Mus musculus: one gene and its partner. The protein of the gene in region 2 binds, or shares a complex with, the protein of the main gene of each other region. Links are inferred from orthologs where the notes say so. Each region holds a gene or a part of one and is shown on either strand. Other genes may lie near its edges.

Region 1 (4,377 bases), on a different chromosome or scaffold from region 2:
CAGGGAAGCATCTCAGAACAAAATGGCAAGTTCTGTCGGAAGGTACATACTGTATGATTTACCAAGCACGTGGCAGGTACCCAGCACACTTGGCTCTGCAGTTTTCACAGCATCCCACGGGCTTCTGGACACTAGGCTTCCAGGCATCAAGAAGTGGAGGGGAGCGAGGTTGGAGTGGATATGATCAATGAATACATGCATGAAATTGTCAAACAATAAATAAAAGATTTAAAAAAGGAGGCGACAAGGGGCAGACCACATTTAGCTCCTACCCCAGAATGAGGCCAGTAAGGCACTAAGGGTGGGTGGTGACTAGGACTGCCTTCCTTAGGCAGACCTGTAGCTTATAGTGGGAGGACGAAGACAACATTTTCCTTACAAGAGCAAATCACATGGCAAGATCCTTCTCTTAATGAAAAACTATTTCCTTGCTTTTAGTACTCTGCGTTTTCTTACATTTCTGGCAGCTGAACCGCCTGGCTGCAGGCATCCTCTCTCTAAGCATCCTCTCTGTGTGCTTACTTTGTCGGAGCATCTCTGCTTTACAGGAGCAACTTTGGACTGCGTTAACACATGACACTGTCCTGAAGAAACTCATCATGTACATGGACTGTTTCCATCCACAGTCAACTGAGGACGAGAAGAGCGTCCTGGTGTGCCGGGAGACAGCGCCAGCCCTTGCTATCTCAGCGCACCACCTGACAGCCCCGATTTAGTTGGCAATAGAATCTGATAGCAAAGGGTCAGCCCCTGCCCGTACAGTGGGAAGTAAAATTCTCAGGCTAAAGCCAGTCTCCAAGGAGCTTATATCTGGTTAGAGAGATACAATTTGAAGTTGGAATGTTACTTAATTTTCAATTGTTATTTTAAGGGATTTTTTTAAAAAAATTATTTTCATTTCTGTGTCTGTGTGAATGTATGGACATATAAGCACGGAGACCTGTGGAGACCTAAGAGGGCATGGATCCCTTGAGGCTGGAATTACAAACAGCTGAGAAAGAAACTGACTTGGATGCTGGAAACCAAACTCCTATCCTTTGCAAGAGCAGTGTGTGCCCCAGACCACTAAGCCAGCTCTCCAAGCGGACAGTAACTGTCTAGAGTTTAGACGGTTTCTCTTTCCAGTATCACAAGGGTAAAATCAGCCAGTGATAACAGTTGCCATCTAGTACAAAGGGAACAGATCTCTTTATTAACTTAAGTGTGGAGGTGAAACATTACCTCTGCAGACAGGGACAAGTTCCCTCTTCAGTTGCAGAAGGAATTTGGACTCTGTGTTCCTGTAATCATTTCTTAGCTGATGCCCCTGCCTCCCACCTTTCTCCTTTCTTACCTTAGTTCCTCAGAGACAAAATTTTCATTTAGGAGATATCCCATTTACGCTTGCAAAGTTAACCAATAAAAACAAAAGTAGTTTTAATTCCCAGAGCTCCACCCATACCATAATTTTTTTCTTCTATGGAGGAGGTCTTGCTGTGTATTCCAGGCTGGTCTCAAACTCACACCTGCCTGCCTCAGTCTCCTGAGTTTTGGACACATTCATGTGCCAGCATGCCCGCTGAATGGTGTAACATGAGTTTAGTCTATAAATAACATCTTTCTCTTCAGAAAACACTTAAGAAACTTTTATGGAATCTCAGCTTTAACAGTTTACTGAGAGGAGTGGTAGACCCAGGTGTCTTTGTCCTGTCAAGGCAGGCAGGCAGGCAACTTGTGGTGTGGGCTGGCCAGGCCTGCCTGTGACTGACTCTTTAGCACACGAGTCTCTCAGTCGCTCTTCTCTTCTGTTTGGTAATGCCTGTACTCCGGCTTCAGCTCCCATGTGTTCTTGTGAATTCCTTTTACATTCTGAATGCCAATTTCTTTCAAGATTTCTTTCAGGTATCCCTAAAAACCAAACCAAAACAAAAAAAGCACCACAGATGAGGTTATCAAGGCAGGAAGTAACACTTAAAATGAAATACACTAAATACTCACAAGTAACAAAAACTAGCATCCTTAAAACCCAAATGGGGTTCCTATAAAAGGGTTCAACAAACTTTTTCTGATTCTACAATGTTTTGACGCACCAGAGGAGGGCGTCAGATCTCACTATGGATGATTGTGAGCTACCATGTGGGTGCTGGGATTTGAACTCAGAACCTTCGGAAAAGCAGTTAGTGCTCTTACCCACTGAGCCATTTCTCTAGTCCTACAACGTATTCCTCACTAAACACAGGACCATGTGCATCAAAGGCCTGGAAGTCCTAAACAGAGAGGAATCTAGAGGAAAATATACTGTAATGGCTGCTCCATGTTTACTGAATTCAATGGAGGGCAATCTGCTCTTGACTTTAGTGACTTAACAATCAGTCCACAGACTACAATCAACAGTTTTATGAGCATCCATATAAATGACACACCCTGTAGGGATAGGAAATAATAGTCAAGCAAGCAAGCATATGATGAGTACCTACAACTCCTACTTCTGTAAGATATGCTTTTCTTTAAAGACAGGATCTCATTATGCTAGACAGGCCTCAACTGCCAGAGTTCCATGAGCCTCTGTTTTCTGAGTGCAGGGAATAAAATCGTGAGCCACACCCCATCTGACCTAAGATGGATCTTCTGAGTTTCAGACTACCCCTTCCCTGTGGAATAAGGAAAGGGGTAGCCTGAAACTTTGTGTTGCCCGAGCCTGCCATAGCAGAGAGAAGACTAAGAACGAGAGGGCGCAGGCTTCCTGTGCTCGGCTTACATTATTTTATGTCCCCAGAACCTGCTTCCCAAATGATTACTGGAGTCGTGGAAATTAAGACTGTGTTAAGTGGACTACAAAACCCTGCCTTTGTTTGCCAAAGCCCACTGAAGCACCCATTGACCAATAATACAAATGACAGTAACCTCTAGAAAAGAAAGCTAATTATTCACAAGTGATGTGTCCTGCCAACCAACCAACCAACTAACAAACACCCCACCCAATCCAACTTCTGAGTATCTGCTTCAAAGAACTAGGCACAATGTCAAGATGGCTCTTCTCACTGCAGGAGGATATATAATTCACCAAAACGAGAGGCACTAATGGTTGAAGAACTCCTGTCTAGATAATATTTGCACCGAATGCACTACTACCCAAACCACATTATGTGTGAATCTTTAACAAACCCCTGTGTGTGCACATATGGACAGGATTTTACTCTGTAGCCCTGGCTGGCCAGGAACTCTCTTATGAAACCAGCTAGCTTCAAACTCAGACATTTACCTGCCTCTGCTTTCAGAGTACTGGGATTAAAGGCATTTGCCACTATGACCCCTCCCTTTATAAATAGGGTCTGACAATACAGCCTAGGCTAGCCTGCAACATTCTATGTAGACCAGGCTTGCCCTAAACTAGGGGAGATCTCCCTGGCTCTGCCTCCAAGTGCCACCAGACCCAAACTGTCCTTGTTTTTTTGAGACATGGTGTCATTAGGCGGTCCAGACTGAGCTCAAATTTGTGTTCTTCCTTTCTCTGTCCAAGTCCCTAGCCAAGATTCTGAAGATCACGCTATCTGCTCCGAGGCTGTTACAGCTCCCACACTCCAGGGATTTTGAGCTCTTGATATCCTTTGTTCTCAGAACCTCAAGGGGCCATGTTACCAAATAGTCAAATCCCTACCTGCTGATCTGAAACAATGGAGCACAATCCATTAACCCACAGATAGGCTGCCATCTAGAAGTTTGTTTCTTTTTGAGACAAGGTCTCACTATGTAACTCTGGCTGTTCTGAAACTCTCTCTGTAGACCAGGCTGGCCTGGAACTGAGAGATCAGCCTGCCTCTGCCTCCACCTCCTGAGTACTGGAATTAAAGGCATGCACCACTACTACCAGGCTTGTCTTTTAGAAATGTAACAGCAGAGACTAGAGCTCGGTGAGGTCACTGGAAAGCTTAGCATCTGTCTATTGGACAGCCTTCCACAAACAGGCCCCAGCAGGTGGCAGCAACGAGCTCAATGAGGCCTGGGTTCCCCAGGCGGTTTGCCTGCCTCCCACACCTTCTATAGTTGGCTTTGCTAAAGGCATGAGTGTGAATGAGTAAGCATTTAGGCTTGGGCAAGCAGGTAATGTGCACGTCTGCCATCTGCTATTTCAAATTACACTTGAAAAATGGGGCACTGTTCATAAACTACTTTCTAATTAAACTGGATTCATAAATGGAAAATGATGGGTTAGGCACAAATGATTTTCAGTTTAGGTGCCAAGAATGACATCTTTGTAAAATTCCAAAGAATGGTTCATTGTGAGGCTGCTAAGATCCTGTTGCACAAACAATCACACAGTTGTGGATGGATAGCAGTGGCCCAAACACAAACAGCAATCACCAGGAGCATTTCAGCAACCCAGAAAAAAGCAGCTCT
Region 2 (5,459 bases):
TGTGGGTTCCTCTTCATTGTTTTCCTGGAGACACTCACACCGAGAAGGAGTCCACAGATGTGCAGCAATCCTCCTGCTTCAGTCTCTGAGCACTAGGTTTCCCCTGGCAAGAGTATGGGTTGTTTTGGGTTTGTTTGTTTGCTTGCTTTCTGAGGCTTACTATGTAGCCCTGGCTGGTCTGGAACTCACAGACATCTGCCTGCCTTTGCCCCTGGGCATTAGGATTCAAGCCTACCCTCCCGTTACATTTTATTTTTGTGGGTGCAGCTCTGACCCTCTACCGGGTCAAGGACAAGTAGCAGGCTCATCTGGGCAGTGCTGGGCTCACCTGCGGCTACTGCACCAGGCGGTAGGTGATGTAGCGGCCAGCCGTCTCACTGGGGCGGATGATCTTCACGACCTGTGGGAGCAGGCAGGCGAGGGAGTGGTGGTGGCAGGGCCTTGGGACCACTGGCCTATGGCAATGGTGGTCTTGGCCTCAGAGACAGGGAGGAGATGGAGGAACCAGGGAGATCCAATAATTCCCAAAGGGCCTAGGAGGGGAACAACCACTGTGGCTTCTCACCTGCCCTCGCTTGATCCCAAAGTACCGTGCCACTGGGTCCCCGGCCTGGATTCTGGGTAGCTGGCTCTCACGAAGCTTGCTAGAACAGTCAAGGAAGCAGCTGGCGGGCAGCGCTGGGGTGAGGGGGGTGTGGGGACAGAGTAAAGGATACTATCGAGCCAGCAGTTCAGTCACCTCCTCCTTTGTCATGACCACGTGCTCAGGGACTAGCTGTGGAGACAGAGACCCACCCACAGGCACGCGGCCATCAGGAACTTCAACAGACCAACAGACTAATGGGTATTGTCATGGGGCTGGGACAGAGGACAAAACCAGGCTATTAATATCACCAAGTTGGATGCTCAGGGCCAAAACCGGGGAAGCACCCCGCCCCGGCCCGTGTCCTGGATGCAGGCAGCACTACGCCCCACCCCACCACACACACCTCGTGCTCTGTGATATTGATGAGCAGCTCCTGCTGTAGAAACTGTTCCAGCACATACTTCGGGGCCATGTCCACCAGGGACTGCTTGGCGGAGGGCGTCATGCCCTGCTGCACCACAATCAGCGCCCGTGTGATGTTTTCCTCCTGCATGCGCTGGCAGTATACCTTGATGGTCTTGATGCCCACCTTGGGCTCCTCTGCGGGCACACAAGCACCACCCTCACACTCACTACTGGAGCCTGTGGTCTTAGTTTCTCTGCTTGCAAGGGAAGACTAGAACATCAAGGCAGCCATGATGGGGCTGCCAGGGGGCTCAGCTATCACTGCAGAAGCTGCAGGGTATGCAGGAACTGCGGCCCCCCTGGAACGGGGGTGGGGGCTCTCAGCAGCTCTGGGGTTTGGGGGATATGGTACTGTCAGCTTAGACAGCCTCAAGGAGAAACTGACTGACCAAGAGATGGACCCTGTGTCTACATGAGGCTAGCCTTGTCTCCTCAGGCAGAGCGCAGGAGCAGACCCAGGCCACCTAGTTTGCAAATTGCTGGATAAACACAGGTATATTTACATTATGACTCATAATAGTAGCAAAATTAGTTATGAATTAGCAATGAAGATTTTATGGTTGGAGGTCACAATGTGAAGTGTACTAAGGGGTCCCAGCATCAGGAAGGCTGAGAACCAATGCCCTCCATAGTTGTCCCGGAAGTCATTGTATAGACCAGGCTGGCCTCGACTGCCTGCCTCTGCCTCTCAAACACTGGGCTTACAGGCATATGCTACCATGCCCATCCCCGCACCCCCCAATTCTCACACTAAAAACCAGGTCCCGGGGCCACAAAGCATTAGGTATTAAAAGAGGCAAGCTGTCTGGGGAGACTGAATGTAGCTGCACAGGGAGGTCCTGGGCTCCCCAATAGCCTTCACTCCCACAAGACACCTGCGCTGCTGGCAGAAGCTGTAGAATACAGCACACAGGGGGTGTGGGGGTGGCATAGCTGGCCCTGGGACTCCCAGGCAGAAGCTATAGAATACAGCATATAGGAGCCAGGGGGTGGAGGGCTGAGAGCTGGTTCTGGGGCTTATGGGATGAAAACGACACCAGCAAAAGGGAGGCTTCCCAGGGGAGACAGGGACAAAAGCAGGCAGCTGCCACAATCTTACAGGCAGCGTTAGGCCAGAGTGGGACATGCATTCACTGGCACCTGAGCCAGGGCCTGGAGGAGACCACTCCTGCCAGCCCAAGGGCCTCACCTGGGAAGAACACAAACATCTGGTCTGTGGGGTCATCGTTGTGGGCCACCAGCACCGTGAGGTCTGTGCGCCTTGGCCGTCCTTCGCTGGGCTTGTCCCCAAACTGCGCCTTGAATTCCTCAAGTGTCTGGTCCAGTTCATCCTGGGTCACCAGGTAGCCACGGTCATGACACAGCTGCAGAGACAAGAGGCAAAGAGGCAGTCAGCCTGAGCACTTAGCTCGCAGACCTGACCCTGAATGGCCGAGGCTGGGGACTAACACTGAACTGATCCAGCAGTACCCAAACTCTGTATAGGCTCAGACCACAGCGGCCCGGCCAAGCCTCTCCTCCCCCCAACCTCAGTGGAGCAGGCTGGGATTAATCCCCTGGCAACTGTAGGCAACCTTCTGAATACAGGCACCTTCCTGTCCCCAGTCTTGAGTGTTCCTGATGAGGGAGACTAGAGCATCATCCAGGATCAGGGCTGAGGAACAGGCATGAGGTGGCCCTGGGCTCCACCAACACAGCATAAGTCAAAACTATGCATACCTCTTTATCTAATAATGGTGTCTCATGTGTTCAACTCAAAACAACCAAGAATTTTTTCTTTTATTCCCTTTTTCTTTTTCAAGACAGGGTTTCTCTGCGTGACTTTGTCTATTCTGGAAATCACTATGTAGATGAGGCTGACTTCTAATTTAAAGAGATTCGCTTGCTTCTGCCTCCAGAGTGCTGGGATTAAAGGCGTGTACCATCATACCGGCTTGTTCTGTTTTTAAAAATACTGTTTTTTCATCCTATGTGTGTCTGGAGTCCCCAGAGATCAGGACAGGGCGTCAGATCCCCTGGAACTGGGGTTACAGATGGTTGATAGCTTTCGTGTGGGCGGCTACCTAGCTCGCATAAAACCAAGTGTGACCACGCAGCAGCCCCCTCTCCCGAAACGGAGCCCACCCAGGCCTTTTCCCCTGAGGCAGAGTTAGGAGGTGGAAGCAGTAGGATTTCTAAGAGTTGAAGCCAGCGTGGGTGGGCTCCACACTTTAAACGGGGATGCATTCCAATCCAGGAGGATTGGCCCCTGCGGGAGGCGGGCCTCGGCGGACAACCCGCAGTTAGTCCGCAACTGAACGCTCGCTCGCATAAAGCTCCTCACGCTTGATCACCTGCATGATCGTCTTGCGGATCTTCCACAGCCGGTAGGTCTCCTCCTCGTCGTCCATGCTGTCGCGCTTCCCAAACAACTGTGCACGCGCGCTCGTGGAGCTGCCAGCACGGAGCCTGCGCCGGACGCACAAAATGCCCCCCGCCCCCCGGCAGTGCGCCTGCGCCAAGGGCTGGGAAGGCCCCCGCCCAGGTTCGTGCTGTCTAAGGTGAACGCCGGAATAAACCTACTTTCCACGACAGGCTGCGCGTTGGGCAGCCCCAGCCTTCACCGGGGCGGTGTCGCGCGTCGGGAAGATCTCGCGATACTTGACCTGATAACAGTTTTATTTCCCTCCCTTAGGCGTCTCCCGGGCTGTAGTCCACGCCTTTAATCCCCGTCCTCGGCAAGCAGATCTGTGAGTTCGAGGCCAGCCTGCTCTATAGCCAGGTCTACAGAGAAAACCCTGTCTCGAAAGAAAGCAAGAGACCAGTGATGAACAGCCAGGTTCATGTGCCTCAATTTCCCTTTTTATACAAGTTTTTATTAGTGTATCTGCACTTTACATGAGAAATCGGATGCAAGCACCCACATGAGGTGGCCCCCAGCCATTTGTAACTCCAGCTCCAGAGAGTCTGATGCCTCTGGCCTCCAAGGGCCACACTTACAGGTCTATACCCACATGCAGACACACAGATAAACATAGTTAAACGACTAAAAATCTAAAATGAAAACAATCGATGTGCGGGCATACACACAATGAACAAACAAGTGTGTATATGGTGGGCTAACTCGTGAAAAGTTTGAGAAGGTGGTGAGAAAATGAATCCTAGGGAAAGGGATTCCAGGGCTAAACCCTTCCAACTATACAATGGGAGTTCACAGGAACGCCCCTTTCTCCTTTTCTTTCTTTCTTATTTGTTTATTTATTTATTTATTTATTTATTACATGAAAGTACACTGTAGCTGTCTTCAGACACTCCAGAAGAGGGAGTCAGATCTCATTATGGGTGGTTATGAGCCACCATGTGGTTGCTGGGATTTGAACTTCGGACCTTCAGAAAAGCAGTCGGGTGCTCTTACCCACTGAGCCATCTCACCAGCCCTCTCCTTTTCTTTGGGGGAGTGTGCTGACTTGAAATTTGGTATAGAGACCAGGTCTCAACAGCGCAGAGAATGGCCTGCCTCTGCCTCTCAGTGTTGGGATTAAAGGCGTGTGCCACCAAGACTGGCAAGGTCTGTCCTTGGAAGTCCAGATGCCTCCATTCTGTCCTGATGTGCGTCTGACAGCTCATCTACAGATCATCACCAGTTCCTGCCTGAGAACTTAGGCTGATCCCAACTGGGAAAGACAAGTTTTTGCCAAGTACACTGAGCCCACCATCTACCCTGTAGACCAAGGGGCTTAGGCTGCTACAGTTGGCCAAAGAAGCCATGAGTGTGCAAAGGAAGGGGACATGGGCAAAGACGTTTCTTGGAGAAGAGAGCATTGCCTGGGCCTGGGAGTGGTGGCCGATGCATTTGATTCTGGAGGCCAAGTGGGTAGATTTCTGTGAGCGCTGTGCTGAACACCCCCCACCCCCAGCAGGGGAGCCCCTGACTTCCACTTTCAGGGGGGACATGACCCTCTCATTATTGGTGGTAGTGAACAGTCAGAGCCTAAGTATGTGTACTTGGGACCTTAGGAGCTTCCCAGTGGCCATGTGGATAAGTGTCACTGAGGGTGTCCTCCAGCCCTTGCATGTAGGAGCCCCTCCTCCCACCTCCTCTGTGCCTGGGATCCTGCCCCTTGTTGTGACTGGTGAGACTGGGGTCTCCCTGGCCCCTTTCCTGGGACCCTCTCAGCCAGTCCCCCAGCCCATCTCCAGCTGACTGCAGAAGCCTCTCTACCAGGGACCCCACAGCAACCACACTGGCCTAGGATCCACAGAGGGCAGCAACCAAATAACTGAGCAGATGCTTAGATCCCGGTGTGAAGGCCCCGAGACCTTAGCACGGCTGATGGAAGAGCCATACACTGTAAAACTCAGCTGAAACAGCACCAGCTGCCAAGACAAAAACATAGGCCGGGGACTGGTGAGATGGCTCAGTGGGTAA

The links. The genes of interacting proteins can lie anywhere in the genome.
Region 1: Polr2e (region 2) and Gtf2f2 share a complex: the UniProt entries of both Homo sapiens proteins name them as parts of the TBP-based Pol II pre-initiation complex. The link is inferred for Mus musculus from reciprocal best matches to the Homo sapiens genes POLR2E and GTF2F2.

What each region holds. Positions count from the first base shown.
Region 1 is NC_000080.6:75,895,767-75,900,143, forward strand, and holds the end of Gtf2f2 (general transcription factor IIF subunit 2), read right to left. Parts: intron 1,888-4,377; coding exon 1,768-1,887; 3' UTR 1,171-1,767; downstream 1-1,170. UniProt on the Homo sapiens protein: TFIIF is a general transcription initiation factor that binds to RNA polymerase II and helps to recruit it to the initiation complex in collaboration with TFIIB.
Region 2 is NC_000076.6:80,036,199-80,041,657, forward strand, and holds the start of Polr2e (DNA-directed RNA polymerases I, II, and III subunit RPABC1), read right to left. Parts: upstream 3,462-5,459; 5' UTR 3,442-3,461; coding exon 3,385-3,441; intron 2,416-3,384; coding exon 2,241-2,415; intron 1,187-2,240; coding exon 990-1,186; intron 776-989; coding exon 717-775; intron 645-716; coding exon 566-644; intron 401-565; coding exon 335-400; 3' UTR 329-334; intron 104-328; 3' UTR 1-103. UniProt on the Homo sapiens protein: DNA-dependent RNA polymerase catalyzes the transcription of DNA into RNA using the four ribonucleoside triphosphates as substrates.